Linked DNA regions of Neurospora crassa OR74A. Each later gene encodes a partner of the first gene's protein in a complex. Links are inferred from orthologs where the notes say so. Each region holds a gene or a part of one and is shown on either strand. Other genes may lie near its edges. The genes, in order: arp2 and NCU02781.

Region 1 (16,188 bases):
GGCGGCGTGTTCTCAGAGACGAGATGCTAGACACCTGAACTTGGACTTGTGAGTAAGTGTTCCACCGTGGGAGGACATGGCGACGGGGCGCTCCACCTACCTATACATATGATAAACCCCGGCTGGCTGTATAGTAGGTGGATGTTGGCCAAGCAGGCTCCGGGCAGGCCTCCTGGTCGACCACCATGTTGGGCTGCAGCAGACTGGGCTGCAGTGTGGGAAGACATGCCGGGCACTTGCGCGCGCTGCTACCCAATGGCCTTGCATCTCGGGTGAAAGCATGTCCTCAGTGGCTCGGGGTTTCCAGAACTGAATTCGAGACTCGAGAGGGGTCGTGTCAGCTACTGTAGTTCTGAATGTCGTCTGTTGAAGCGAGCGCGCATGTGCTGTCACGATGGCGGTCATGGTGTGAGGCTTGAGGTGGAAAATGAAACATCAAACATGACGGATGCTGATTGATTTGGAGAAGCAAACCGAATGGAGACCGCACAATGGTCGACTTCAGTTGGGGGAAGAAGAGAAGCTTGAGCATATCGGAATGGAAGGTACAACTGAAGTCTGCCGTAGTAATATACCGTCCGTCCCTACTCCCGCCTTCCGCTCACCAAGTTCCTATCCCAAGTGGAAGTGAAAGGTCAATACTTACCTACCTACGTACCGTAGAAGTGGCCGGGAAACCAACTGAAACCGGACATGGACAGTCTAATTGGAAGGTACTTAGGTATCTGGCCCGAATTAGCCAAGAAACTGGAAGAAGGCTGTGGCTAGTATATTGTGATATGTAGAGAGGTCACAATAATCCGACAGCAGACGCTTGGATGTATATATATCGACTGTATCCGCCCGCGTGGTCATATAACGTGCGTCGAGGTACTAAACACATAGTGCTGGCTGTCTCTCTCCGTCGCATGTTAGGGCGTACAACGGTTTTGTACACATCCCCTAACAGGTACTTCCAAAAATAGCACCATATCAATGCTCCTTTCAGAGACCGGCGCCGACGATCCAGCTGAGTAGGGGCCGAAGTTTATAGAGGTAGGTACGTGCCTCCACTGTCAGTTTGGTACGAGTTATCTCGCTGCCCAAAAGAACAATTCCCCATTACAATTCCCGATTGTTCATTCTAGCATATCGAGTCCTCTCATCCATCATGTTGCAAAGTATTTGGCATTGGGCCATGTCTAAGCGGCTAGGAAAATTACCGAAAACAGTTCCTGATGCATACTTCAATTGTAAGCGCCAGGATCCCCAGCCCATTCCCCGCTGACTTGGCAGGCCCAACCCACAGCGGCGCGGGGACAGCAAGTCCCCTGTCATTTCCCATTCCAGCGACCTTCCGTTATTCCTTGTTGTCGACTTCCATCGTGAGACACGACGGAATCTCCAACATGACGGCAACACCATCATTCCACCATCTCCTCCATTGCACCAACCTACTAGACCTATCATCTCTTGAGATACCATGACCCTTCTCTAGTTGAGATTTCTACTCAAATTTGGAGTACTACCATTCAAGATTGGCCTCAAAGTCTTTACCGCGTTCCTCGTCGTGCGGGCCATCTTCAGAAACATGGCCGCCAACCTCCGCGACCTAACGATGTACCTGGTGGTGCTGATAATCGTCAGCACCCTCGGTCCTCTTCAGTTTGGTTTCCATTTGGTATGCGCCCCTTCCTTTCCAAGCCCGACATATCTCTACTAACAATCTTTCCAGGCAGAGTTAAACGCCCCCGAAGATGTCATCACCTGCCGCAAAACCTCCATCTCCTCGACCATCTCCAGCCTGCTGTCCTACGTCAAGAACTCCTCGAGCGATGTCGACTGCATCCCCATGACCCGACCCCAGTTTGCTACCGTCTCCGCCATCTTCACCATCGGCGGTCTCTTCGGCGCCCTGATGGCCGGGCCCTTCACCTCCTCTCGAGGCCGTTGGCTCTCCATGCAGCTGACAGCCGCCTTCTATATCGTCGGCTCCCTCATTGAGACCCTCTCCCACTCCGTCCCCGTGCTTTCGACAGGCCGTTTCCTGACCGGTGTCGGTGCCGGTGCCAGCACGGTCATTGTCCCCCTCTACATCAGCGAGATCGCGCCTCCTGCGCAGAGAGGATTATTTGGTGCTTTTACCCAAATCAGCATTAACCTCGGCATCTTGATCTCGCAAACCATGGGGTACTTCTTGAGTCACGATTCGGCCTGGAGGTGGATACTAGGATCTGGAGTGGTGGTGGCAGCTGCTCAGGGATTCGGACTGCTGTTGGCGCCAGAGAGCCCAAAGTGGACAGCGAGCGCCAGGGGCGATGTCGCGCAGGCGAGGAGGACACTTCAGCGCATCCGTGGCAAGAACGCTAATATCGACGAGGAAGTCGAGTCATGGGGCCAGGGAAGTGGGAGACCTACTAGCGAGGAGGAATCTCTCCTTCACAGTGTCGAGGACCGCATGGAGGGCCTGTCGCGCAGAGACACCTCCTCTCGCTCCAACTCTCCATCCCCTTCCACCTCTTCGCGTCCTCATCCCCACAAGGCCAGCAAACCCCATCTCGGTTTCGTGCAGGTTCTCAAGGATCCCAATACCCGTCCCGCCATCATTGCCGTGGTGGGCATCATGTTCGCCCAACAACTCTGCGGCATTAATTCCATCATCATGTACTCGGTCTCCCTCTTCCGCGACCTGCTCCCGCCTTCTTTTTCTTCGGGCCTCCTCACCATCTGCATCTCCATCATCAACCTAGGCACTACTACTGCCTGCTCGCCTCTGCCCGACAAGTTCGGCCGCAAGGCTTGTCTCTTGGCTTCTACCATTGGCCAGGGCGTGTCGTCTCTCGTCCTTGCTCTCTCCATCATGTTCGGCGTCAAGATCTTGTCCGCCATAGCGGCCCTGTTCTTTGTGGCTTTCTTCGCGGTCGGGCTGGGCCCAGTGCCCTTTATCCTGGCGAGCGAGCTGGTGGGTGAGGAGGCGGTGGGTGCTACGCAGTCTTGGGCGTTGGGTGCGAGTTATATTGCTACTTTCCTGGTGGCCTTTGGGTTCCCAGTGGTGAATGAGGCTCTGAACAGAATTTTGGGAGGCGCTGGATGGGTTTACTTTATCTTTGCAGGGCTGGCGGCGTTTTGGGCCTTGTTTATCGTGAGGATCGTGCCCGAGACCAAAGGGAAGGCGAACGCGGACGAGGTTTGGGGACGTACTAGGCGTGTGGACTGAGTGGTGAGTTGATAAGCTGGGCGTTTGTACTGTGCTTTTGCGTGTTGTTTTGGAGGACAGAGTTTCGTGCATTGCTCAGAGTATACTTAGGGATTTCTATAATACAACGGAAGTGAACTTCCCTTGTACAAGCAAGACAATATTACCACCTTCTATCTCAAATTACTATCAAGGCAATAACCAACCGCCAATCTGGCAATCGGTAAGCATTAAACTCGGCAACCGTAACCTCGGACGTCCGAACCAGCTTATGCAACTGCAGAAGTGAGCTTCGCTCGTGCGGAAAGAATGACTTGTCACAAGGATGAAAGCATGGAAACAGGGAACCTGACCCGGGCACTCCCAACAGGTACTTGAACCATCGTATCCCCGTCTCAAATTCTTCTCCCGGAAACCAAACTTTTTCTAGTACAACATTTCACTACTCAATACACTTATTCAAACCAAACCAAGCCGCCGCTCGTTGCCGTTCAACCAAACCATTGAAGTCGCCGCTCGTTGCCGTCAACCAAACCAAGCCGCCGCTCCAATCGTTGTCATTGTCAAACCAAGCGGTCGTCCTTTGTCGTTGAACCAAGAGGTATGCTTCTCGCTTGCTATTCTGCTCTCTACTTCGCCGTCTCCCCAACTCCTTTCTAATATAATGGTAGTAGGTTCCAAAATGACTACCCTCGCGACACACTGCACATGTACACTGGCGATCGAGTGCCCACTCGCCAGCGAATCTACAATCCCGGCTACGACCTGATTTGGCCTCAAACTTCTGCTCATCATTCCGGGCATCATTGTCTGGTTGGCCCTGAGTATCCTGAGATTTTGGGTCAGATCGGAGATGATATGGACGGCCATGCACGGTGAACGTTCGATAACGGAATTCCCGAACGCAAACAACAAAACTCGGCGGTATCAGCTCACAACATTTTGTTTGGTATTCTTGATATTCCTGATTGTTTGGCCGCTTGACATGGGATACTACATCATCACTTGGAAACCCGTTTCTGCATCACCCGACAAACCACTGCTGCTATCGAACACCCGCACAGCACCGGCAGAACAAGAACCACCACCGCCCTACTATAGTGCTATTGGTGTTGCATAAGGGGGGAGTTCATAGTGTACTAGACAAAATCTACTTCGAATAGTCCTAAAGGTTATATGGATAAATCAAAAGGAGTTAGTTGGATTTGCTTTGGCATTTTGAATGTTAGAGATGGCGTGCCCAAGGTTAGATTGTACATTAGTTAGCCATGAAAACGCATAGGAAAGTTGACACGAGGTCTCGAACTAACAGACCAACCAGTACTAGACTGTATGTATTGCATTCATGAATGAAGCCTTGAGAGAACAAACTATGATATACGATGTGACTTCTGCCCCGAGAGCTTGGAAAAAGGCAGGGGGCACTGCGACGAACTTGCGTACAAATCGCTCGAAAGGAAATCTCCAGCTTCAAAGCTAATTCCACTCCCTTTCCGTCCCTACCTACTGGGTAAACATTCTCCTATTTTTCACCATCTCATCCACCAGCCCAACTCCCGCTCTGACTCCATCAACAACCATGACCTTCTTCCCCCTTTCCTCGCCGTACTGCTCAATCGCAGTCCGGCGAATGATTTGCTCCAGTCCAGCCATGCCCGCACATCCCATCACCACACACTCCACATCCCCAGCCTGCAACAACTTCTTGGTCGCCTCGGCCAGTTTCGCATCAATCACCTCCTTGGAAATATCTCCATGGAAATCCCCCGCATCCAACCCCGTCGTCTGCACCCCGGCAAACTTTGCATTATTTCCCCCTTTCTCCTCTTGACCCAAGAATTTCTTGACTCCCACAGTCAGGTGCTCCTCCCAGTACTTGCCCGTCGTGACAATGCCCCATTTCTTCGTCGGGCCCGTGAGCAGCGACAGGCAAGTGAGGACGGATGCTTCAAAGATGCCCGTGACGGAGAGGGGAAAGCCGTTGGATGAAGCGAGTTCCGAGAGGCCGGGGACGAGTTGGTGCACGGAGTAGCAGCATACTAGGACGGCGTCGTGGTCTTTGAGGAGTTGAAGGTTGCTGCTGAGGTCTTGGAGGACGTGGGTGGCGGAGGTATCCAGGTCGGTGCCGTTGTTGATGCTGGCTGGACAAGAGGTAGGGGCTGTGTAGTAGGTGATTTTGATGTTCTGGAGGGGGGTGTTAGTCCACGTTTTCGGTTATTAGGGGTGGAGGAGAGAAGGGAAGACAGACGTCGGGGAGGTTTAGGCTGGAAATAGACTTTGCCATGCCATCGGTCATGGACTTGGAGGAGTTGGGGTTGAGGATCAGGATCCTGATTGGTTCTTGCTGGGCGGTAGTCATGTTGACGAAGGAAGGGGGGTGAGTGAGTGAGGTGAATCGATAAATGGTCTGAGAGGGAAATAGTCAGGTCTGAGTCCATTTTGGGAGGTATCATGAAGTACTCAGTTTGAAAGATTGACGATGGTAGAACCTGAATGGGAACAACCTACTAGTATCGTAATGAGTTGGTAAAATACCGATTGTATCGACGGCCTGAGTGAGAAAGAATAAGGCAACAAAGGGTCTGATAACCACAAATGAAGAATCAAAAAAAGAAGGGACGGGAAGAACCAATATCAATCTCCACTCTCAAATGCACAATCCATCCCGTCTGATCTCTCACGATGCCCAACAAGGTGCATGTACTACTGAAGGTACAAGTGCGAGTCTCATGCGGGGTATCACGTGGGTACCCTAATGCCTGCCACTTCCTTGGGGTCCAGAATCCTGCCAAGACCCGCTTGTCATCGGCGCTCGTCCTGGTCAAAATAATCGAGACCTTTGACATGATACCTTGGCTCCTTGGGTATACTGCTGACTCTCAAGTTCTAGGCAATTACAGAATGAAAATGTGTAAATAGGGCTCTAGCTGAGGTCTTTTTGAATTGTTATATTCCCTGTCACGGTCTTGCAGCGGTCTTTTCTATGATCTTGACGTCTAGTGAACTGGTTTACCTAGCCTGCTCGCTCGTCTCCTTTATTTTGGCTCAGACGAGCGGCGCCCTGTTTGAAGGAAAGCTTGGCAGTTAGCGAATGACCCCACATATCGATGCTACCCCCCCAGCTAGGCTACCGCGCTGGACTCCAGCTAATTACGGTGCCGTAGTCCACTTCGCTACCGTAACCCGGACAGGGCACCGACACCACTGCACCGACCGACCGACGGGACCACCGACACTTGGTTCCTGTTGATTCACCCGCGGGAGCTTTCCATTCTAGCTCCGATATACACTCGATATTCGAAACCCCGACGAAGCTATTCGCAACTCCATTGAAAGTTACCAAACCAAACAGCCGCCCAGCATGGCCAACACCGACGCTCCCATTGGTACGTCAGCTCTTCTCTCCGCCAACAACCCCTTATCCATCTGGTGTCTCGAGCTCAAGCTACCTTGACGACCACCAACACCACCACCACCCACCCATCTGCCTGACCGCGTCATCACCGTCGCCATGGCAGCTGTAGCCGTCGGACTCCGTCCTCAATCACTTCCACTTCACAACAACAAAATGAGCACAGCGCCCAGCTAACACTTCCCCCCTCGAACACAGTCCTCGATGGCGGTACCGGCTTCCTCAAGGTCGGCTACGCCGCCCAGAATTTCCCCGAATTCCAATACCCCTCGATAGTCGGCCGCCCCATTCTCCGCGCCGAAGAAGCCAAATCGCTTTCCGACTCCTCCGACATTGTGATCAAAGACATCATGTGCGGTGACGAGGCCGCGGCCGCCCGTACCATGCTCCAAATCAGCTACCCGATGGAGAACGGCATCGTCAAGAAGTGGGACGACATGCAGCACCTATGGGACTACACTTTTCACGAGAAGATGAAGGTCGATACGCGGGGAAGAAAGATCTTGTTGACGGAGCCGCCTTTGAACCCGTTGAAGAACAGGGAGCAGATGACCGAAGTCATGTTTGAGCGCTACGACTTTGGGGGTGTCTATGTCGCTATCCAGGCGGTGCTGGCATTGTATGCTCAGGGTATGTCACCGCTCCTTTACACGGCGACTTGAGGAAACAAGTAGCTGACAGACAACGCGCAGGTCTCTCCTCTGGTGTCGTAGTCGACTCGGGCGACGGTGTCACGCATATCGTTCCTGTCTACGAATCCGTGGTCCTCAACCACCTTACCCGCCGCCTCGATGTGGCCGGCCGCGACGTCACCCGCAACCTGATCGCCCTCCTTCTCCGCCGCGGCTACGCCCTCAACCGTACTGCCGACTTCGAGACCGTCCGCCAGATCAAGGAAAAGCTCTGCTACGTCTCGTACGACCTCGAGCTCGACAAGCGCCTGTCCGAAGATACCACCGTCCTCGTCGAGAGCTACACCCTTCCCGACGGCCGCGTCATCCGCGTCGGCTCCGAGCGGTTCGAGGCCCCCGAGTGCTTGTTCCAGCCGCACTTGGTGGATTGCGACCAGCCGGGTATCGCCGAATTCCTCTTCAACACCATCCAGGCCGCCGATGTTGACGTGCGCTCCTCGCTATTCAAGGCGATCGTCCTGTCGGGTGGTTCCAGCATGTACCCCGGCCTTCCAAGCAGACTGGAGAAGGAACTGAAGCAGCTGTGGTTGACGCGCGTGCTGGGAGGCAACCCCGAGAGGCTGAGCAAGTTCAAGGTCAGGATCGAGGACCCGCCGAGAAGAAGGCATATGGTCTTCTTGGGTGGTGCGGTGCTGGCGAATATCATGGCGGATAAGGAGAGCATGTGGATTACGAAGCAGGAGTGGGAAGAACAGGGCGCGAGGGTGTTGGAGAAGTTGGGTCCTAGGTAAGGGACTACCGAGGGTGAAGCTGTTTAGACTACAATAGCAGGCGATATAATGTTTTCCGTTGGTAGGTAAATAAAGGATAATGCGAGAGTTTGTTAGAGCTTGCTTGGGCTGGTGTAATTTTGTTGGTCCCGACAGGAGAAATCGAACAATGGCCTTGTGTCAAGAGTCATGGTCTTTTGGGATACCATGAAAGAAGTCCCCAATATCACAACGGCGCCAACATCAAGCAAGATGCGGACAGCGGAACGGGACGGTCCCGGACAAACATCGGGAAGACGGAAAGGTGAAATGGTCCACCCCCACTTGTTGGACATCGATACGGTACGCTAAGGCTGGCGGCGATACAGTGGCTTATCAGAGCTGACACACTAACAGAAGCAAACATCATCAGATCTCTGCTAGCCTGACATGTCGCTGGTGACGAAAAGGGTAATTGATGTTATTGTTTTCCTTCGTGTGTCACTTTGTTCTTGCCTTTGCGACAACAATATCAATCCAGCTCGTCGTCAAAATCCCCAGACCTGTCGTGTTCCCAGATCCTCACCGGCCATCTTTACTCGATTTCTCCAAACTCTCAAGCCCGGCTTCCATCGCCCAGCTACCGGCCACGCTAACACACCGTCTCCGCTCATCCATTCCCGAGTCTCACAGTGGTTTTCCCCCCGGGCCCGTGCAGATCGGGTACGGCTCAGATGACATGCCTCCGAAACCGAAATGTGAGTCGATGAACTTGATCCAATTCCTTCATTCAAAACATCATCCAGCCCTCCCAGCATGATCCCTTCAGTGTGTATCTTGTGCCCGGTTATATAGTTTATTTTCTCCAAATTCCCGAGAGCATCTTCAAACACAAAACAGACGGGCGGTGACTGCCCAGCCTCTCACTACCAAGTCACTACCTTGCATACACCAACCTCACTCTTATAAACATACAATCACCCCCCATGATGTACGGCACAAATAGAGCGAGAAACCAAAAGGCCGAAACCAGCTACCGCGGGTGTCAGTATCGCCTTTCCCCCCATTCATCTCTCATATCCTAGTCCAGTCCGACACTAACCGCCCTCAGTCTCAGACCAGCGTAGCAATGCCGGCCCCCTAAACTACCAAACCAAGGTCCGCATTACCGACCGCTACAAAGTCATCGGCTTCATCTCCTCCGGTACCTATGGCCGGGTCTACAAAGCCACCGGCCGACAAGGCCAAACCGGGGAATTCGCCATCAAAAAGTTCAAGCCCGACAAGGAAGGTGAAGCCGTCGTCAACTACACGGGCATCTCTCAGTCGGCGGTGCGTGAGATGGCGTTATGCTCCGAACTGCGAAACCACGCCAACGTTATCCGGCTCATCGAGATTATCCTGGAGGACAAGTGCATCTTCATGGTATTCGAGTACGCAGAGCACGATTTGTTGCAGATCATCCACCATCACACGCAAACGCCACGACATCCGATCGCGCCAGGGACCATCAAGTCGATAATGTACCAGCTGTTGCAGGGGGTGCAATACTTACACACCAACTGGGTATTACATCGAGACTTGAAGCCGGCGAACATCATGGTTACTTCTTCCGGAGAAGTGAAGATTGGCGATCTCGGACTGGCCAGGGTTTTCAAGCAGCCCATCCACAACCTCTACATGGGCGATAAAGTGGTCGTGACTATATGGTATCGCGCGCCCGAGCTGCTGTTGGGGAGCAAGCATTACACGACAGCTATCGACCTGTGGGCGGTGGGATGCATCTTTGCGGAGCTGCTGAGTCTTCGGCCCATCTTTAAGGGGGAGGAGGCCAAGATGGATAGCAAGAAGACGGTGCCGTTTCAGAAACATCAGATGCAGAAGATTGTGGACGTAATGGGCCTGCCGACGAGGGAGCGGTGGCCCTTGTTAGCCAGCATGCCCGAGTATAGCCAGTTGTCGACTTTACAGCCGCCCTTGCTGTCGACCAACACCTCCCACTCCCACGGCGGCGGCCACCACCCCTACGGCCATCGCTCCCAGCAACAACCGCCCGCGTCGCAAAACACGCACGGAAACCTCCAGAAATGGTACCACCAAACCACCGTCTCCACCCCTCTGACCTCGCTAGGAGCAGAAGGCTACAAACTCCTCGCCTCCCTCCTCGAATACGACCCCGAGAAACGCTTGACGGCCGCCGACGCCCTCGTCCACCCCTTCTTCACCTCGCCCACCTCGACCCCGCTGGCTTCTCTCAATAGCAACACGGCCAATAGCACTTCTCAAGGAACAGGAGCAGCAGCAGTCAACTGGTCACCAACCAACTGCTTCGAAGGACTCAAAAACGAGACGTACCCGTGCAGACGCGTGTCGCAGGACGACAACGATATCGGCTTCGGCACCGGAACAGGCAACCAGAGTGGGTCGCGGGTGAACACGGCTGCGGCCGGGACGGGGACGGGGCTGGTGATGGGACAAGCGCAGTCGCAGGTTCAGGCTATGGGAGGTTCGTTGGGGAATATCGGCGGACATGGACACGGACACGGACACGGACAGATGGGCGGCGGCGGGATGGGCCAAGGGATGGGAGGGTTGGGTCAAGGACATGGGGGGATGGCGCAAATGGCGGGGATGAAAAGGATGCATGATGCTGCTGCTGCTGCTGCTGCGGCGGCGGCGGCGGCGGTGCAGCAGAGTCATCCGAATAAGAGGATGAAAGGGTCACAGGGATAGGGATACGGTCTTGGTATTGAAAGACGCGGACGAAATCCCACGCAACGCCTTGAGGGACAGCAGGGACAGCAGCAGCCAAACAAGCCGGGAATGAGCTCGCGGCTTCGAGGATAGCTGAACGGCGTCATGGAAGGCAAGCCGGATGGTCAGTAGCCATTTGGACTGATTGACCGAGCCTGAGAACGTTTGGCGGACAGAGACTGGGGCGGAATCGAGTTATACAGTGGACGTACCTGTCCAACCCACATTCCTCATCACTTGGCTCGATTCCTGGGTACCAGTCTACCACCATCTGACCACCCAGGAACAGGACAGACCTTGCATCAACAATAGCTCCAATAAACAGTACAACTGCAGCGGCTTCACCACGAGTTCGCAAGCTCGAAATTGCGCCGCAAATGGTCCCACTACAAAAACAGGTCCAGCAACTACGACAAATCACACAGGAAGCACTGCGAATTCACAACGAGCGACGCAAGATCCCCCCCCTCTGACAGCGAAACAGTGCCTGGTTCAAGCGCAGCATCTCCATAACCTACAGCGCCTTGCGTCGGAGATGAACAAGCTAGCGGTAGCTGTGTTTCATCCCGAGCACTTGAAACTGCTGCAAGCACACGACGACGGCGCACAAACACATGGACAGCATCATCCGTTAGAACCATTGGATGATCTTGAATAGCATGCCTTGGAGGGTGCTAGATTCGCCGCCGGAACTTGTCCGGGTTTGTTTGGAGTTGCTGGGGTCACTGAGCAGGAGATCCTGAAAGGGGAGGACATGGACGTGTGAGGATGGTTACATGCTTGGGGGGTTGATTGTGTAGATGAAGCGAGGGAGACTAAAATGTAGGTACCTACCTGACATCGATGCGATCAGGACTTGATGAATATGAGAACAGCGTGGACTAGAAGAACATGGGAGGGAATACGAGAACAGGAGTCACGATAGAACCGGCGGGTATCGACATATAGCGTACAAATATACCTCTAGACATCATGAATCCACTTTACAAAATCACACTCGAAGCACACAGATCTCTTGGACCATGATGAATACGTACCAACAACTCTCTTTCTCTCTTCATACAACTAACTACCAACGCAGCTCGCTATAAAACAAAAAAAGTTAGGTATAAAAAAAGGAAGAAGAAAAAGCAAGTTACCCGGGTATCCTATGATGCCTCCACCACCAATATGTCTCTCTCTGTCTCTATCTCTGCCTTTCTACCTCTCTTTTGTATTCAGCTCCAACCAACCAAGGTAGCTGTTACTGTCCCCTCCCCTCCCCCTAGCTTCCCTCTCTGTGCTAACCAAACAAAAAGGATGTCAAAAGCCACGCGCCAAATAACAACAACAACGACAACACAAATCAGGTGACTAGGGTAAATTACGGATTATTTTCGTTGTCCTTTATGCTTCTTCCTCCTCTCTTTCTTCCTCCACCCAGCCAAGCCAAGTCCTTCTGTTCGTTGCGTACCCCGAGCCGAGGCTTGGACATCTCCCGTTTTCGTTAGAACAAAAAGCATTTCTTGGGATGTGTCATGACCAACTTCCTCTCCCTTCTTCCATTTCTTTCTTTCTTTCTGGCCTGGGCCGTCGCTATAGAGTCAGGGCTTTCGGTCTGATTGGGGGTATCGGTTTTCTTGCGATCTTGTCTCGAAGCGAGGTTGTCATTATCCATCTACGGGACTGAAGCTTGGAAGTAACGGACGGGGAAGCCTTCCGGCCGACCGAGCAAGCCAGCTAGCCAGCTAGAGTAATTAGACAGCCGGCCGGCCGGCCAACCAGTCAGATCCCATACGTCGACACCGAGCGGGCGGCCCTCCCTGTGTGTGTTTTATTGATGTCGAAATCGATCGAGGTTAGAAATCGATCACTGCTTCTGGGCAGCCTTCATGTTATCGGACAGCCAGTTGAAGCCCTCCTGCAGACCGGCCTTGTCTATCGCAATGGTGGGTTGTACGGCGTAGATGCGGTCCTTGAGCTTGTTGAGCTGGAGCTTCTCGGTGACTTCCTGGGGAGTCATGGCTGTAGAATGTCTGGTTAGCATAGGTTCATCCATACCCCTCAGGCTTTTGTCCCAAAAACCCCAGTTCGAGCGCAGCGAGCAAAGAAAAAGAGAGCCGAGCGCAGCGGACACCTCGTCGAAAATACAATTCCAAGGGAAGAAGAAGAAGGGAGTACTCACCACCAGCAATATCCTGCTTGTTAGCAAACACCAACAACAAGCAATCCTTCATCTCGCGATCATTGATAATCCGATGCAACTCCACCCGCGCCTCGTCGATTCTGTTATGGTCCGCGCTGTCCACCACGAAAATCAGACCCTGGGTACCCGAGTAGTAATGGCGCCAGAGGGGACGGATCTTGTCCTGGCCGCCGACGTCCCAGATGTTGAACTTGATGTTTCGGAGGGTGACCGTCTCGACGTTGAAGCCAACCGTGGGGATGGTGGTGACGTGGTCTTGCAGCTTGAGCTTGTACAGGATGGTGGTCTTGCCGGCGGCGTCGAGACCGAGCATGAGCACACGGACTTCTTTGGTGCCGAAGAGCTTGGCCATGAAGCCGAGGGACATGACGTTGCCCATTTTGGCGGTGGTCTGAAGGGAGAGGTTGTGGATGTGTGTGAGAGTGGTGGTGGTGGTGGTGGTGGGTGGTTGCGAGTTCGACCGGAGTGGTGTGGTTTAGGTGTCTATGGACGACACGACAAGTTCAATCGGATCGCGACAAAGGAGTGTGGTGGTGGAAGGGACTGATGATGAGTTGTCGACTGGCGATGGGCAGGAAGCGGAACTAAGGAGCGGACTGGAGAGAAACATGTGTTAGTCTGGCTTGTTAGAGGTTGGGGCGTGGTAGCGCACGTAGACTACTGGACTGGAGGTAGTGGTAGGTAATGTAATATGGGCGAGACAGTTGAGGGAACAGTGGGGAGACCGATGAGGTTTCAAGATGGCGACCGGCCATGGTGTAGCGAAACCATCAATTACCAGCCTAGTAGCCTGGGGAAGTGAAGACAGACAAACGAACGTACCTGGGGTATCGTGTTGGTGATTACAATTGGATTAGGCGCAAAGGGGTGTATGTAATGGTGATAGTAGCGTATGTCGTCTGGCGTCTGGCGTCTGATGCTTCTTCACGTGTGAGAGATGCCGTCGTTGTCGTCGCAAACAGCGCGGGTAGGTAGGTAAGGTGTAGGTAGCGGGCTGTGTATCGCTCGGTAGTAGTAGAGTAGTTCACGACAGGCAAGGAGCAGATTAATTAAAAGCAGGTGGTGCCGTGGGCCGTGGAGTGGGTGAAACCTGGCGGAGATGTAGACGATCAGGCTTGTTGATCCAATGTCGGGCAGTCAGACGGACTGAGGGGAGGGAGTGGGAGAGAAGGGAATGGAGACGGAGACACGACAGTCGGCAGTCAGTCAACAGGGCCAAGCCACAACAGTGAGATGGAAACAGAAGATGGAAGCGCAAAAGTTCATCAGTCAGTCAGTCAGTCAGTCAGGAGGACGGAGCTCAGGAGGGAGGAGGGGAGGGGAGGGGAGGGGAATTGGGAGATTTGATGAAGCCAGGCCAGGCCAGGCATCGGAGAGAAAGTCCTCGTCTCTGTCGCTCAGCACGGTACTGCGTGTTTGGCTTGTCTGGTCGCTAATCCCAGAAGGGAACAGGGCCCTTCTTCCGTGTCGAGGATATTTCCCCCATTTCCTTGATGCCCCTGAGGAAGGAGCCAATCAGCGGCCAGATCGGGAATTGCCATTTCCTGCTGCAGCGGGGTCCGTGCTTCCCTCCAGCGAGCCAGGCGTGGCACGACCAGGGAGGGGCCTGTAGTTTAGTGGTCTGCAGTGGGCACTGGCGGGATCCACCGGGAAATTCAAAATGATGATGACGGGAAGCGATGCGATGCTGAGAATTGATTGCCGTGACCTTTCCGGCAATCAGACTCCCCCATTCCCCCAAATGAACCCAGCAACTTATCTCCGGCAGCTGGGTCAAGACAACTGAACAACCACCATGGATGGATAGAATGGGAAGATATGGGATATTTATAGGCAAGAATAATACCAATGGATATATACCTACCTAATCCCCTTGTTACCTACCTACCTATTCGGGCTTCCATCTGTTCTTGTAGGGCAATCCGCCGATATGCCTTCGGCGGCCTCTGCCGAAAAAGGTAGTGTAGACCTCGCTTCGCTCCACGATGAGGTTTGCGGGACTGGAACAAAGACAAGCACTCATTGATTAAATCTGGCCACAGCAGAGAACCGCACCGAAACTAGACATACACTCGTCATCATGGATCGGATGAATTGTTGATACCACCATGATATATCCAGTATTCTAAACAGCCCGCTGGGTGTATTCGCTGCTTGTACAAACCATGCCTGTTCCGTATGTCGTATCCTGCGCATAACCACCAAATACCAAAATCTCCAACCCATCCCTGGGCATACGAGCAACCCATATGTATATTGCCGTGCCCTTGTCATTGCCCCAATACCTCTTCTTTCCCTAGAGTCGTGCCCATCCGAACCATCCTCACCGAGTTCAAGGTCGCTGAGCCGAAAGTTCAGGCGTAAAAGGTCTTCTATCCTCGTCTTCCTCATCCCAACATCAGCCTTCTAAGCCCTATACTCCACCACAAACCGCCTCTCCACTAACTGCAGCGTCCCACTGTTCTCCTCTCCCTCAAACCTCAACTTGACCCTCTGCTTGCCCTCTCCCTCGCCCTCGGCTTCGGTTCCCATCACCTCCGCCTTGTAGAATGTCGTGCTATCCGGATACAGCGCCAACACCACCTTGCCCTTTTCCAGCTTGGGCAGCTTCTTCTCTTCTTCTCCCGCCGCGGGAATGGGTATCATGCTCGACGCAGAAGTGCGGTACTCGACGCGTTCGTCCGGCTTCAGATCGGGATCGGCGTCCTGCACGCGATACCGACGAGACTTGCCCTCGCCCGAAACTTGTTGCACGCGTCCCAGCATCCACTCGGTGGTTTCGTTTCCCGACGCCGGGGAGGCTTTGGGCTTGAAGACTACGTCTTGGCCCTTGTGGAAGATGACTTTGGCGCGTTGGGTGGCGCCTGCTGTTGTAGGTCCTGCGGAAGTGGTGCCGTTGGAGGTGGTGCTGGTGTTGGGTTCCGGAGGGACGGAATCCTTGGAGGGTGTGTCGCGGGGAGGCACGCTGTCGCGGGCGGTAGAAGCCCTATCACTGCCGGCCGTAGTATTGGCTCCGCCGAGCTTCCTGGTGTGACTTGACAGAGGAGAAGGGACAGGTGAGTCGCCGGCGCCGTCAAAGTCGTACATGGAACTTAGATCGCGGTCGCTGTGTTTATCCCTGTCCTTGTCTCCCAATCCCAACTTGTCACCCAGCCTCTCCGAATTACGGTCCCGATCTCTGCCCCCTTCTTTCTCCCCCTTTTCCCTGTCCCCGCGGTCGCCACGATCCTTGTCACCCCGATCACGGTCCCTATCTCCCCTCCCTTCACGATCTCCTCCTC
Region 2 (15,985 bases), on another chromosome or scaffold:
ATCGGTATCGCAACCGATTTCGGAAGCGGTGTTTAGAGCTAATCTTGTTTTGTCCCCTTCACCTTCAACCCCTTCCGCTTCACCTTCCAACCCTTTAACCCCTTCGCCTTCCCCTTCCACCACTTCAAAACCAACACCAAAACCAAAACAAAAACCGAAACAAAAACTAAACCCCTACGAAGAAGATACCTGGTCTTCCCTTACCATTTTTAACTCTTCTTCTTTTTCTTCTTCTTCGTCTTCTTGTTCTACCCCGTCTTCCTCAGGCTTTCAAACAACAACAAAATTCCAAATGCTAGGCTCCTGCCGACGCTGCCACATGGTCTGCATAGACCAAACCACGGGATCGAAAACCGCAGGAGGCGAGCCCTTTGTGACACTAAGTAAGACGAGGAGGTTTGAGGGGAAGGTGTTTTTTGGTGTGCATATGGGGTTGCAGGCGGAGGATGAGGAGGATGGGCATGCTGAAGATATAGAAAAGGAGGGGACGGGGATGGGGATGGGGACGGGGACGGGCACGGGGACGGGGACGAGAAGCATGGGAGGAAACGGAAGTGTGGTGAAGGTTAGGGTGGGGGATGTGGTGAGGCCTTCTTATTTGTGATACCTGGGGTGAGTTGTAAAGATTGGAGGGAGTCGGAGGGAGTGGGAAGACTTTTTGAGGTTAGGGAAAGAGGTTGGAAGTCAGAGGGAGAAGTTAGAGGGGAGAGGGGAGAGGGGAGAGGGGAGAGGGGAGAGGGGGTGCTTGGGATGTTTGCAATGGATGTTAGAGGTGCTCAAGGATATTACTTCACATGAGATCATGAGATACATCACGAGAATCGTTAAACAAAATGAGGAAACTCGCTCTTTCCTCCCCGACAGCTTTGCCTGACTGACTGACTGACTAACTGCTCAACTCAACTCAACTCAAATCAAGTCATGTAATGTCGCAAACACATAACACAAGTAAGGTACCTCCACCTATTGTGGAATATCCAGGCAGTTACCTAAATCATCCACTGTGTTCATGTAACCATTCAGTAGAGCAAAATAAGACCACACCAGTTTCACAGTCCTTATACAAGAGTACTGTCTATTAACTCTATCAAAGATGATTAAAATAATCAATTCATATCATCTGACCTATGGTAGTATCTACTTTACACTTTTTTTTTCCCCCATAAATAATGAAAATTGCGAGGTCCCATGGTAAGTAGCCCACCAGAGCTTTAAGTACCTATCTTGTCTTTAGCTTTTCCTTTGACAAGTCTAGGTAGGTATTGTCTGTCAGTTATTACCTACCTATGTACCTACCTACGCACTATGGTATTGCTTTTCAAGCAGCCAGCCAGTTTATTTACCTACCTACCTACCTACCTACCTTACTTATATCATATATTCTTAGGTAGGTACTTCTTTCTTAGGTAAGGTAGTTAGTGAGTAGTTATTTACGAAGCAAGCACGCGAGGAAACAAGCACGCGAGGAAACAAACAAACAAACATCATCCTTCGCATTACAATAACCTACTACCTCTACCTAGACTACCTAGACTAAGGTACCTAGCTAGGGTAACGGTGGTTTTACTTACTTACTTACTTACTTACTTTTTTCATTTGTGTACCTATCTATCTATCTATCAATGTATGAAGAGAGAGAGAGAGCCGACTGACAAGAAGTAGTATACTTCAACTTTTTTTTCTCAATTTCAATTTTTCAAGTTTTTTTTATCTTTATTCTAGAGAGCTAAAAAAAAAAAAAAAAAAAAAAAAAAAAAAAAAAAGAAAAAGGCAGATGGACACAGAGGGACAGATAGACAGATAGATACCTTACCTAGCCAGATAGGTAGATAAAATAGACTATACCTAGCGAGCAGCTGTGACGGAACTTGGAAACTTACATAGATACCTAAGTCCCAATGGTATTCGTGAAGGAAGAAGGTCCTGCCACTATAAAGCCCGGGCCGCGCGTACGTGTCTGAGGAGCGGGAGATGATGGAGTTATATAGGTACCTAACTACCTAGTGATGTAGATATCATAGGTAGCATTTCACGCATCTCCAATTCCTTCAGTGCTCATTCGTGTCTTTTCACTCTCGTTCCAGTTTTGAGACCCATCTATTTTGGGTGCCGTCACCAGCTAAAGCTATGTACATTGAACACACCCACACACAACCAACTCACTCATCCACTCTCATCCACTCATTATCAAACTACCTATTACATGGAAAAAAGTGTATATATGCATACATACATAACTTTGACGTTCTTTATGGATACTTTGCCCCCATCACATCTGGGCATGTTCCATTTTCTCTCTTTCTTCCCTTTTTGGTTCCCCTACGCTACGCTACCAACTTTCCACATTCTCATCTCTTCCATAACTCACGCACTCTTTGTCTCCCCTGTCGTCGTCGTCGTCGTCGTCCTCGGCTTCCTCTCCCACCCAGTCTTCAACAACCTCCCCACCTCAAAGACCGGCAACGGGTGCGCCTCGGTATTGAACACGACCTTGTCCAGCGGCAACAGATCCTCCGGACTGAACAACAAATAAAAGTACTTGAGCGTCTCCGCCATCCAGAAGCTCTCCATGTTATCCTTGATCACAGGCGGTATGACATTTGCATTCGACAAGCTCGTAAATCCGCCGCCATCTTCGACAGCAGTGTAGTTGACAAACGACTTGAACATGTCCCACCCCCACTCGCGGTACTTGACGTCGCCCGTGATGCGGTACATGTAGAAGAGGGACTCGACCGTTTCGGGCCGTTGGAGGTTATGCGCGTCCATTTGATGGACTTCATAGTCCTTGCGCCAGGTCGCATCAGGGCCGGCGGGGTCATCGAAAATGGAATCTGGTGGGCTGGTGTGCGAGGAGGACTCTGGCAAGGGGTCCGAGGGGATCTTAAAGTAGGTGATTTCCGCGGCGAGGCCCGTCGCCATGTACCGGTACATGCCCCAGCACGTCTGCATCAGCTCGCGGGCAAGCTTCATGTCGGCCTCACGCTGCTTGTTCCAGAAGCCGGGCTTCTTGCGGGCTTCGCGCTCCGAGAGGCCTTCGGTGGCGGCGAGCGCAATGGTTCCCGGGAGGAAGCAGACGAGGTGGTCCATCTTGGGAGACAAGTTGCCCTCGAGACCCGAGGGACGTTCGCCGACAATGGTGAACCCGCTGTTCTCAGTGTAGGTGACTAGGTGCTTGCGGATGCCCTGGAGAGCGTCGTTCCACATGTCTTGGTAGATGGGTTCGGCCTTGTGGGTTTGCAGGTACTGCTTGATCAGGTATTCGTAGTAGGAATCGCCGCGCGAGCCGAGCCGGATGTTTTGGGTATGAAAGTGGCCGGTGCTGGGCTGGATGAAGATGGGCACGAGGCCATCGGGGGCTTGGTTGTCGTCTATCACTTTCATGACCTTTTCGGAGCGGTCCCAAAAGTCCTTTTCGCCTGTTAGGTTGGCGAGGTACTTGAATTCGAGCTGGAGGGTGGTGGCTTCGGCGGTGGAAGAGGCACCCATGTCGGCGTGCGAGGGCAGGCCCTGGAATTTACCGAGGTTGACGCTCGCGTAGGGAATGCCAGAGGGCGTGTCGAAGGCGGACATGAGGCGGTCGGCGAGGTCGCGGGCCTTTTCGAGGTAGAGGTCCTCGCCGGGGGCGCCCACATCGTCATCGGAGATGGGCGCTAGGTTCGGGTACTCGGTGCTGAGGTAGTAAGCCGACAAAAGACCGCCCATCATGCGGATGGTCGTCTCAAAGGTGTTGACATCTTGATCCTGGTCCCAGGTCAACGACTTGGAGATCCACTCGCGAGCATGAGTAACCCGCGAGGTCAAGTTCATGATCATCAAGGTGTCTAACGAATCGATAATGATCCAACCCAAACCCTTGGGGGCCATATTGCGGCCCGTCTTGGACACGGGGTGAAACTCGTCATAACCTAGTCACACAAGTTAGCCTTAACCGATAATCACAACACCAACCCTTCTTCAGAAACATACCCCAGGCATATCTCTCATAAGCATCCCAGCTCAGCTCCATAGCCTCAACAACCCTCTCCCTCCTCTTCAACCAATCCGCCTTACTCCTCGCCTTGGTATCCGAGCTCAACCACCCCCAATCGCCCAGCTTCGCCCTGGCTCGTTCATGATGCTCATCAAAGAAGCCCGTAAACCACAACAGCCCCAGCACCACCAAGGTAAATAACCCCAACACCCTCTTTTTCCTCAACAGTGGCCTAGGTCTCGCTCCTCCGGGGCCGTACCCATACGGCTTATCCTTGTACATGGGTAATGACCTTCGATCCGGGTTTAGGAATCCTCCCACTTTATCTTGTACTCCCCCTAGCACTCCTCCTGCTCCTGCTGATGGCCCTGCCCGTTGGCGGGTCGCAGCAGCCCACAGTCGATCTTCAGCTTGGCGCGCCGGGTCCGTAAACGACGGGACGTGTCGTGGGATGGAAAAAGAGGCCATGTCCCCTGGATCTTCGTATTCTTCTTCTACTTCTGTGTCTTCCTCGTCGTATGTCTCTTCCGCAGCAGCAGGAGCAGCAGCTGGCAGTAAGGTGCCCTGCTCTAAATCCGCCTGTGACTGTGACTGTGACTGGCTCTGAAAGGCAGTGTGGTCAAGCGCCCTCTCGACTTCCTTTGCGGCGGCTTCGACGGCGTCGCGGGTGCGTTCAGCGGCCTGCTCAGCGAATTCGGCGGCTTTGGCAGCGGTCTCGACAGCCTGCTGGGCGGCTTTCTCGGCACGGTCGCGGAACTCGGTGGCGGCAGTGGTGGCGGTTGCGCGGAGGATGTTGATGGCGGCAATGGTACCGGGGCGGTTGAGGGAGAGGTTGTGGAGGTTGAATGGATCGCGGACGCGGTTCATTGAGGAGGAGGAGGTGCCCTGGAGGGGAACTGAACCGTTGGCGCTATAGAGGTACCTAGTTGGGGCAGTTTCATTGGGGGACGGCAATGTCTTGGTAGGTGTGGTGCTGTTAGTGCACTTTGGGCCTTGAATAGGTAGGTAGGTGGTGCTGGATTGAGACAATGGATTATTAGAGGTAGGTTGGAATCACCACAGTAATGTAGACAGACGTATTAGTTGGTCATTAGGTAAGTACGTAAAGATAGGTAGGTAGAGGTATGGATTAAGCAAGAGCTGGCAATTGTATAAATTCCATGGAATAGATGGAAGGTAGGTATTCACACGCAAAAGGGAGCAGCCGTCTCTCAAATTAAAGGCCCTTCTTGGATTTCCCCCCAACTTTGTATTTCCCAAATTTGAGCGGTCAAGCTGCACAAGGAAGGAGAACTGCGGCGTGGACCTGGCATGGAGCTGTGCTTCCATCCCTTCGTTCCATCACATCCGGCCGCTCTTACTTCCACTTCTGGAAGTGCCTGACATGTGTTTGCACATGTGTACCTACCTACCTACATAGGGGTTGTATATTTATAACCTGCCAACGGTCAGATGTACGTACACCAGCCGGATGCAGAAGTTGTGGTGATTGCTTTCATATTAGCCCCGAGATAACGAGAATCATGCAAGAAACCAAGAACCTTGCTGACCTCTTACACTAACTACGCAGTACACAGTACAAGTACACGACGCCAAAAAGGACAGCTTGAGCTTGGACGCGTCAAGTTCCCTTGCGACAGTTGTGGGGCCCCGCTGTTTGTACAAGTCTTACAGGGGGCCAGATTCGCCAGGGTTACGAGTGTGGTGATCTGTCAGGGTTGGGTCTGTCATTAATTACTCCCGGCGGTCTCGCAAACTTCCATCTCTAGGTAATGGTTGGCGTTTATGTATTGAGGTATTGTGGAATGCATGGAGGGTATATTTTTCATGCATATGATCATAAATGAAGAACATGTGAACAACCACAATACCTCTAACTTTGAGTTACGACCCCTTCCTTATCTTATCACCCTCTCCCGTCCGTCTCGTCCCGCTCACTAACACCGTCCCGCCCGGCCGTGACAATCCAGTTCCACATGCGGTAACATCGATATGTATGTCCCAATTTCTCCCCCATCCCATCCTTCACCACTGCACCACTCAGCAGACCGCCCACCGTCTCACCATATCACAACCACACACCTCACCATTACCGAAAACACTCTTGATCAAAATGTACTCCCTGGAAATCCAAAACTACCCCCACCTCACCCCCTCCGAGTTCGCCGAGGCCGCCCACCACCTCGACCGGCGCTACAGCCAAGCGACCCTCGGCCCGCTCCGGCGCCAATGGAAGCTGCGCGTGCGCTCGGCGCTCAACACCCACTTTGTCTCTCCTTCGGATCCCGAATACAGCACTTTTATCCAAATCACGAGACCGCTCGAGGTCAATCTGGATGATGATGGCTTATCCGAGTTTTTGGATAATTTGTGTTTTTCTGAGGGGCCAGCAGCGGTAAGGGGGGATGAGCGGGAGGGGGAGGGTGTGGTTGGTGTGAGTGAGGGGATGGAGGTTGAGGATGATGATGATGATGAGGTATGTTTTCTTAATAAAAACAGTGGGTTGAAGGGGGGGTGGGTGTGGAATGCTGATAATATGTGGTTTACTGGGGGAGAAAAGGCCATGGTTTTGCCTTCTAAACATCAACAACAGCAAAAGACAAGTTATGGCTACGTCACATACGAAATACACCTTCACCCGACATATCAAGCGCCTTGTCTGTGGTTTTCACTAAACGGACTGCCGGCGGATGAACCAGCCTTCAACATCGACACCGTCTTTCGACGTCTTGTACCCGATCAGTTCAAAGATGGACTTCGCCGCGCGGGTTCCGTGGGTGGTATCTCAGCTGATGTAAGTTTTCTCTTCTCTTCTCTTCTCATCTCATCTCGTTCTTTGTATTTGTGTCTTGCGATTTGGGTGGGTTCAATCTTCTCGCTGTTGAAACACCAAAAAGTTAACTAGGGCTGAACTCCTTTTTCTCGCTCTTTGTGACTTTGTTGTGAAACATAAAGATATGAGAAGGACAAAAAGAGAGAGAAAGAGAAAAAAAAAAGGTGCCTATACTAACACACGAATGTCCCTTCTTTTGAATTATTTCGGCCATACAAACAGTATCATCCCATCACAGGCCTTCCCACCTTCTTCGTCCACCCTTGTCTCCTCGGCGAGGCCATGTCGACCTTTGACAATGTCTCGATCGAGAACTACCTGATGGTTTGGCTTGGACTCGTCGGCGGCTGTGTCAGCCTTTGGGTCCCCAAGGAAATGGCCTTGGAGCCTTCCTCCGCCTAGAGGAAGTGGGAGTAGCGCGGTGTATGTTGTACATGCAGCTAGCGGTGCGTCTTCTGCATTGTCCTTCGAGAGGGCGAATTTTTCATCCATCCGCTTCATTGCGCCTTCATTTTTCGTCATCCTTCCCCACCGCGAGCTGGTATCTTAAACAAGAAGCAAATGCCATAGTGGACACCCATCAGTCCTCGTCGCTGTCTTCCTCCATAGCAACGTCCGAATCGCTCTCCTCCTCTTCTTCCTCCTCCTCCCGTGGCCGCTTCGTTCCCCGGTTCTCCTCTGCCGGTGTGGTTGTCTCCGTCCCGGGAGGCTTGGCTGGCGAACCTTGTGGTGCTGGACTCTCGGTATTCGTAGTAGGGGCGCCTGGTACTGGGGCACTAAAGATACTCTGTTGGACGGTGGTGAGGGCCACGGCGGCGGCGGCCTTGGGTGGCACGAGAGTACCGTCGAGTTTGGCGATGATGTTGGAGCGGCCCTTGGCGTAGGTGATTTTCTAGGCAAACCCAAGTTAGCATGTGAAGGGCTACCGCTGAAATATTCAACCCGAGAAGACCTACCATTTTGCGGCCCAAAAACTCCATGCCGTCAAGTGACCTCATGGCCTGTGTTGCTGTCTGAATGTCCCGGTAGACAATGTGTGCTTGCCCGCGCATCTTCATGGTCTTGAGAGCGACGACATCGAGGACGGGGCCGTAGGTGGAGAAGAGCATGTATAGTGCTGTACGGAGGTCGTCCTTCTGGATCTTAGCTGAGGGGAGGTTCGTGACGTAGAGAGTCTGGTTTGGCGGGTTCGAGACCACCTTTTGGGGGAGGCCCGCGGGGGGAGCAATACGCGTAGCCATTGCCGCGTAGGAATCCGGGAGTTGATGCTGTTGTTGTTTGTCCAATGCAGGTTGTTAATTGTCGCGTAGATTTTCAGTATATCGTAGGCGCCTCGTGGTAGGGGTTAATATCGTCAATTGTCTCGTCGTCGTCGTCGTCGTCGCTCGGGTGTATGATGTTCAGTGTTCAATCATGAATTCAAGTCGCGGCGGCGCATGCGATGTCGACAATTCAGATGCTGGTCCAAAAATTGGAGACAGTGGCCAGCCAGCCTACGAACCATCGAAATCGGTACACAAACCCCACGGGCGTGGGTGCAGCTTGTTGGAGGTACTGCGGTTGCGAGCAAAAGTAAAACCCCCTTGTCAGGTATCTTGCACGGACCACCACAGCCAGAGCTTCGTGAGCACTGTGTGGTCGACGACCTGATCCACGGGTTTAACTTACCCATCTCACCATAGTAGGTTCCAGTTCCAGGTGGGTCAGCCCCGGCCGGCAGCAGGGCACTCTTGGCGGCGTCACCCACCCGCAGCCAACCCCACCACCATACGCTGCCGCAACGGTGCCCCTGGAGCCTGGCGGTCTGACCTCATTTCAGGCGTCCAGCCCGCTGTAGTTACGGAGCTCTCCCGCTTCCCGTTCCCGGGCACAGCTTCCCCTTTCCAATTACAACATCCGGCTCCGACACCACCGAACCAAGACATTCGATCACACTCTCCGTCATCACCGTCCCCGATTCCGAGCGCGGTAGTAGAGAGCTATACTCCTATCGCATACCTTATTTCTACACAACACCAACCTAACAACCCACAATGGCTGCTCCCGAGGTCCACCATCTCTTCCACCACCCCATCGCCGACCACTCCTTCTCGGCCGATCGCCAGACCTTGGCCATTGCCCGCGACACCCAGGTCGAGCTCTACGGCAGAGTCGGCAATGCCTTCAAGCTCAAGGATGAGCTCAAGGGCCATGACAAGCTTGTCACCAGCGTCGACATTGCTCCCAACACCGGGCGTATTGTGACCTGCTCTCAGGGTAGGCCCCCCCTTTCGCAACCCAGGCACCCCATAATGCCACCATCACAGTCAGCTAGACTAACAACCAACCCCAACTCACAGACCGCAACGCCCTCGTCTGGGAACCCTCCCCCACCGGCTACAAGCCCACCCTCGTGCTCCTCCGTATTTCCCGCGCCGCCACCTTCGTCCGCTGGTCTCCCTCGGAAGCCAAGTTCGCCGTCGGCTCCGGCGACCGCGTCATCGCCATCTGCTACTTTGAGGAGGAAAACGACTGGTGGGTATCCAAGCACCTGAAGAAGCCGATCCGATCCACCATCACCTCTGTCGCCTGGCACCCCAACAGCGTTCTTCTTGCTGCCGGCTCCACCGACGCCCACGCCCGCGTCTTTTCCGCCTTCATCAAGGGCACCGACCAGCGCCCCGAGCCGAGCCCCTGGGGCGAGAGATTGCCTTTCAACACGGTCTGCGGCGAGTTCCTGAACAACTCTGCCGGATGGGTGCATTCTGTTGCCTTCAGCCCGAGCGGCGACGCTCTGGCGTTTGCGGCGCATGACTCCTCCATCACCGTCGTCTACCCCTCTGCGCCCGAGCAGCCGCCCAAGGCGGTGATCAGCATCAACACGCAGCTTTTGCCCTTTATGAGCCTCTTCTGGAACGGAGAGACTGAGATCATTGCTGCGGGTTACGATTGCGAGGCTTTCCGCTTCCAAGGCGGCGAGCAGGGGTGGCAGCTGGCCGGCACGCTGGAGAAGGCCAAGGCCGGAGGAAGACCGGGTCTTGGTGACGAGGACAGAGAGGAGTCTGCGCTGAACATGTTCAAGCAGATGGACCTGAAGGGTAAGGTCAGCAAGGATGATACCATGTTGAAGACGGTGCATCAGAATACGGTTACTATGTTGAGGCCCTTTGAGGAGAGTGGTGGACGGGTGACCAAGTTTAGTTGTGAGTGTTCCCCATTTTTACATGACCTGTGGTTTCAAGAATTATTGATGCTAACTTGACACAACAGCGAGCGGTGTTGACGGCAGAGTCGTCATCTGGCACACCTAGATTTCCCCTCGATGAAAGAGGGTTGCTGCACACATTGGGAAGCAGAAAAGCCAAGCAAGCAAGCGTAACATCTAATGTTAATGGAACAAGAGTGAATGGCTGATAATGAATCAGATTCAAAGTCAAGATCCATCAATGTCAGTTTAGCGGGTAACTTTCCCGGTCTTTGATTTCTGCCCTATCCGTGCTTCCCGGTATCCGCCAAAGTGATTGATTGTCCATTCACCCATTGTACAGAGACTTATCATGTCACTTCTCCACAGTGAGCTATCCGTTTGTCATGACCGCCCGGCCAATTTTGCAAGATATGTATGTGTGAATCAGACACACAGTCAAGAACAAATACAGGTTCAATACATACAAAGCAATTCATTGACTTCCGCTTGTGGCTTGCCGGACACATTCCGATTTGCCGTGATAACTTCCATAAAAGGATCATAAGAGAACTAATAACCGGCAGCAGGAGAAGTGCATGTCACAATTCATGTCCATACCTACCATTGTTTTGTCCCTGTCGATTATTTATTCCATATCCTTTCGCTCCTCATCCAGACCTTCAGCTTCAAAAGCAGTTTACCATAAGTAATCAGCCGTCCGTCACTCCGTCCCTTTCAGCTATCCAAACAAACTCAACTTACCTCGCTTTGCCTCCATCTTCCCTGCCTGCCTACTTCGTTGTCTGGTTAGAAGAAGAAACAGCGGGATCAGAAGAACCAAACAACAACAAACTGAACCATGGACCACAACAGTTCCTACGACTACTACCCATTCAACCACCCCCAACACCCTCTGTACTTTAACCCCGTATCTCCTGTTCATGTTCCTCCTCCTCCTCCTCCTCCTCCTGGTCATCCAGAACCAGAGGAACAAAAAGACTACCACCACTACGCTCCCGCATCACCAAGCGACTTTATTTACAACGCCAACTCCTCTGTCAACACCACCACCGCCGCTAGCATCCTTCATCATCATCATCATCGGCATCCTTCCCGCTCTTCTCGATCTTTATTCTCCAACGAGCCAGTACTCGCCTATCCACCTCGGACAGTGGGGTCTAGGTCTGTTGAGCAATCATTTTCGAATTACTTACCTGGGGTACTGGAACCAAGTCTACCACGACCAGCACCAGGTTTCGAGGAGCATCGACGCCAGCGGCAATCAACGATGATGACCATGGGGCCGGGACCAAGTAAATCGGTACCTTCTCCACTGTCACTGCCCCTCAGTAGGGAAGGAGGAAGAAGTGGTAGGAGGAGGATGAGCGGGTTCAGTTCCGGTGAGGAGACAGTGGTGGTGATTAAGCGGGAGGAGGAGGAGGAGGAGTCGGTTCCTTGGGTGTCGATACCGTTAGAGCAGAGGGTGAAGAGGTGGGTGCCGCGGGTGCCACAGGGAGAACAGGGAGAACAGATGAAGCAGGTGGAAGAAGATGCGGTGGGAGGTGTGGTGGGAGGTGTGGTGGGATACGTGCCCCTAGGGACGGAGGAGAGTGGGGTCAGTGGTAGTAAGACTTGGGAGGAAAGGGGGGAAGGGGTGGTAATGGAGAGGGTTATGATGGTGCCGTCGGTGGTGTCTAGCGTTGGTGCCAATGCCGGTGTGGAAATGGTGGCAGGGATGATGGGTACGGCGATGGGAATGGGAATGGAACCAACAATAACGCCAAAGATGGGCCTGTTCAAACCCATCAGGTGGGATGGACCGTCTTCTGCTTCGAGGGCTAAGGCTAAGGCAAGGAGGGTACGTGCCTGGGAAACCATGGAAGAACAACATGGTGATGTTCATCTTCGACGGACTCCTCCTGGAATTCAGAATCGAAGCAGCAACAGAGACCGAAACGACGAAACCGAAGACGAAAAAGTTTCCGACGCCCCCATCTCTCCCCATTCTCGCTCCCCAAAGAGATTCAAGACCTCCTCCTCCCATTCAGGATACATCCTTCGTCCAGGTCCATGTCCAGCAGAAACAAAAACAGACACAGAAATAAAGCAAGAACCAAGCCTCTCACCTCCACCATCCGCCGTTTTGGCTCAGATTCCCATGTTTGATTCCTTCGATTCCCTTCCACGCAACAACAGTGGCTATGAATCCTCCGGTCATGACGACAATTCCCTTTCTTTGCGAAGTATCAGCCCTTTGACTCGGGTCCCGACACCTCATCGTGTGCTGTTCACTACTACTACTACTCCGAACCGGATCATGACTGGAACTGGAACCAGAGAAACGACCCAGCCTTCATTGAGGGCGGTGAGTAAGCAGCTGAAGAAGAGGAATCGGGAGATGGCGCTGGGTCAAGGTCACGGGCGGGAGGATAATCGAGAACGGAGTCGTGAACCAAGAAAGAAACGAAGAGAGGAGGGGGCGTGTTGGGGTTTACCTGGCGGTAGTCAGAGACAGACTCCAGCTCAGGGTGCTAACTCTGCTGCTCAGCAAAAACAACAACAACAACAACAACAACAACAACATCGAGAATCTTCCGAAGGGAGAGAACAAGGCTGGACAACCATCTCGGGCAGCAGTGAAGAAGGGGAAGCAAGCAGTCATTACGAAAACAGTTACAGTTATAGCTTTGGTCAACAGGAGAGGGATAGGGATGCCGCTGCTGCATCAAGTACGTCTAATCCCCTTTCTTATACCGATCAGGAAGAAGAATGGTGTCGCCCTTTTTCTTTCTCATCGTCGTCATCGTCGGCCGCACCCGTCTCTTTTGAGACCTCAGCGAGATATGATCATGATTATGAATCCGCTCCTCCGTCACTGTCGGCCTCGCAGGAGAGAAGAAGAACAGAAGAAGAAGGATACCGCCAAGCGATACAAATGGCGCAAGACACTTGTCTTGAGGCTAGCAAGAGGTATATCAGGGCTCATTGCGCGAATAGGGGGGCTCGCGGGGGTGGTAGTCCTGACACTAGTCCTGCTCCCCGCCAAACTGTCTCGACACGGTCGGCCCGCAAGGCAAGAAGGAAGCGTAAGCTGGAAACCCGTCAGGCCTCTTCCTTTTCCTCCTCTTTCTCATCCTCCTCACCTTCAACTTCACCAGAGGCACCAGCACCTTCACGGCAGCGACGCAAAGGTAAAGGTAAAAGCAAACGACAAAACCGAACCAAGAACCGAACCACCACAACCTCTCCTCCCTCCTCTTTTAACTCACCCCATCACCAGTCCCCACCTCCCCCAGACATCCAAATAAGAAATTCCCTCCTCCCCAACATCTCCCAAATCTGCACCCTCCTCTGGTCGCGCTCGCAGTCTCTCCGACTGCACGACACCGACAGCATCGAGTTGCATACCGCGCGCAACATGTACTGGCTTTTATCGTGGGCGGAAACCGTCGCTTTTGCCGTTGTTCCACCTACTCTCGCTTCCATTTCTACTTCCACTTCTTTTACTGCCTTTACCGTCCCAGACTCAAAGTCAGACCCAGATCCATTCGATTCAACTACGACCATATCAGTCGGTTCGTCGGTCCCCGGTTTCGATGGTTGTTCTTCTTCTTCTTCTGCTGCTTTGCGGCAGAGGAAAAGGGAGTGGGACAGGGAGTGGGAATGGGAGGGTTTTGGGGAGGGGGTGAGTGAGGAGGGGGATAAGGCTGAAGAAGGGTTGGAGAGCAAAAACGGGAGAGCGGTTTGGGAACAGCAACGGATAGAAGAAATGATAAAGAGGGTGTTTGACGAGGGAGGCATGCTTTGTGAGTTTCTGGGGTATGGGGAGGGGGTGGAGAGGTTGGGTAGGGTTAGGGAGTTTTGTGGGGTTTGACGGAATACATTCGTGGACTTGGGTTTGGTTCCTACCTACCTAGAATTGGTGACCTTTTGGGTAAGTACCTAGTATTTCTAGGTCAAGGATGGGATTTGGATCTTGAGCATTGGATAGACGAAGTTTTTGAGATACATGTCAAAAGATCATCGATGTGGTAAATGAAGATAGCCTGATGAGCATGTGTACTTCCCTTCGGGGCATGGTCCACAACGTGGTTGCCTCGTGGTTTGTTTGGTTCCTGGTGAGAAAAAGGAAATATGTCTCGTGCTGTTATTTGACAGCTTCTTCTGCTGTATTAATCGTCTGTCTGGCTCTTGGGTAAACCTTCATGGGCCTGGTGGGCTTGGCATGTGTGACCCTGGTTGACACTTTTTGAAGCGACAAGTGTGGGTGTTGCTGTACATATCTTGATACATAGGTACCCTTTAGTAATGACGGTAAGGAATCGATAAGGTAGCCGGGAAGAGCGGGAATAATCAAAGTGGAAACCCTAAGGGACGGATATCGAATAGAGAAAAAACCAAAAACAAAAAAGGGGGCGCGCATTATCACAGACTGGAAATTGGGATGGTCCACAAAGTATCCAATATTGCCATGATAACCTCAACCTAACTGAGGAAGAGCTGAAAAAAGATGACCCCACTGGAGGTGGAGCCCACACGATAACCCCACAACCCCACGGCGGGTAGTCGAACGCTAAGAGCGCTGCCCTGAAGTAGGTGGACCTGTCCGGGGCATGGTTGGCGGGATCCCGGGCCTCCATTGTTACAGTGGATGTGGTTTCCCCCAGAATTCCCGTCCCAGGCAGGGCAATCCCCCGGAAGGATGGGAAAATGTTGTGTTCAGTTGGTTGCTCTTATTTTTCAAGATGGTATCATCTTCGACCCCCCTTCCTTGGACCTTCCAGTCTTTGTCACCAATGAGAGACGGACTCGCTCACCGATCACTCGCATTCCCATTCATATGTCCGCCCATGTTACATCCCAGAATCGACCCCACGGACCGTCACCCAACAGCCCTGAGGCCGCCCGGGGGGGGGGGGGGGGAATGATAAGCACTTCTCTTCCTGTTGTGGCACTGGCCACGGCTATGTGCTGCAGTAGTGTAGTAGTATCAGGTAGTGTAAGCTTAGCTGACATTCGATGACTGCCCCTGCCTCTTTTTTTTCTCTTTTTTTATTTTTTTTTATCTATCTTTACATTTTCCTCCTTTCTCACTCAGATATCATCCAAGTTGAATTACTAAACACATCAACAAGGACTGTCACGCGACCACACTCCACTCACCGAATCCTCCATCTCACCCGGCGACGATAGGACGAACGGCTGTGATAGGGACGCGATGATATTGGGCGCGTATCTGGTGAGAGGATGAGACCTTTACAAACCGACCAGTCGCCTCTCAACCGACAATAACCACAACGACAACGACGGAAGCATGAAACCCAAAAAGCGAGACAGCATGCCTAGCGACATAGAAATGGCCGCTTACGGCAGCAGAGGTGGAGATTCCTTCGGCCAGGGAAGTTCATGGAGTTTCCGGGAACCCTTCGCAGTCGGCCGCGTCCCGACATGGGCACGCGCTCGCCATCGCCAAGAACCGAGGTTGCGAACATTCCTCGACTCGTTCAAACGGGACCCCGTCCGCCGGATATCAACCCATGGCATCTATGCCCAGAGTCATCCTGATCAATACCAAGCAGCCGACTCCTCGGATGAACCTCCGACCGAACAGAATCATGGAAGCCACTACTTTGACCTGCACGCCGCCAACGTCAGGACGGCAAACACGGGTCTGGCCCGAGAGCTCAAGGGGAGACACTTGCAGATGATTGCCATTGGGGGTTCAGTTGGTATGTCTTGTACAACACCTTACCTGAAGACATGACTGACCAACATCAGGTTCCGGTTTGTTCGTGGCCTCGGGCAAGTGTCTCTACCTAGGAGGTCCGGCCTCGCTCATCATTGCATATGGCTTTGTGGGTGTCATGCTTTGGTGTACTATTCAAGCTCTTGGAGAACTGGCCGTTGCTTTCCCCGTTGCCGGTTCCTTCTCGTCATACTCTACAAGATTCCTTGATCCAGCATGGGGGTTTGCCATGGGGTGGAAGTAAGACACTGACCCCTGAACTTTGAT

The links.
Region 2: arp2 (region 1) and NCU02781 share a complex: the UniProt entries of both Saccharomyces cerevisiae proteins name them as parts of the arp2/3 complex. The link is inferred for Neurospora crassa OR74A from reciprocal best matches to the Saccharomyces cerevisiae genes ARP2 and ARC40.

Annotation. Positions count from the first base shown.
Region 1 is NC_026505.1:6,350,313-6,366,500, reverse strand, and holds arp2 (actin-6), read left to right. Parts: upstream 1-6,333; 5' UTR 6,334-6,536; coding exon 6,537-6,561; intron 6,562-6,785; coding exon 6,786-7,217; intron 7,218-7,279; coding exon 7,280-8,010; 3' UTR 8,011-8,393; downstream 8,394-16,188. Other genes in the region: NCU07169 (MFS glucose transporter), read left to right, coding at 1,571-1,660, 1,715-3,196; NCU17050 (hypothetical protein), read left to right, coding at 4,029-4,295; NCU07170 (hydantoin racemase), read right to left, coding at 4,679-5,359, 5,424-5,534; stk-8 (serine/threonine-protein kinase prk1), read left to right, coding at 8,955-9,012, 9,086-10,701; NCU07173 (ADP-ribosylation factor 6), read right to left, coding at 12,572-12,726, 12,887-13,286; NCU07174 (hypothetical protein), read right to left, coding at 15,314-16,188. UniProt on the Saccharomyces cerevisiae protein: Functions as ATP-binding component of the Arp2/3 complex which is involved in regulation of actin polymerization and together with an activating nucleation-promoting factor (NPF) mediates the formation of branched actin networks.
Region 2 is NC_026501.1:9,210,939-9,226,923, reverse strand, and holds NCU02781 (hypothetical protein), read left to right. Parts: upstream 1-8,615; 5' UTR 8,616-8,839; coding exon 8,840-9,062; intron 9,063-9,145; coding exon 9,146-9,988; intron 9,989-10,055; coding exon 10,056-10,096; 3' UTR 10,097-10,387; downstream 10,388-15,985. Other genes in the region: NCU02777 (molybdenum cofactor sulfurase), read left to right, coding at 1-604; gh47-1 (mannosyl-oligosaccharide 1,2-alpha-mannosidase), read right to left, coding at 2,365-3,908, 3,970-4,840; NCU02779 (hypothetical protein), read left to right, coding at 6,087-6,449, 6,534-6,767, 7,029-7,208; NCU02780 (U2 small nuclear ribonucleoprotein B), read right to left, coding at 7,387-7,698, 7,763-8,047; NCU02782 (hypothetical protein), read left to right, coding at 10,832-13,846; NCU02783 (general amino-acid permease GAP1), read left to right, coding at 15,287-15,701, 15,751-15,958. UniProt on the Saccharomyces cerevisiae protein: Functions as a component of the Arp2/3 complex which is involved in regulation of actin polymerization and together with an activating nucleation-promoting factor (NPF) mediates the formation of branched actin networks.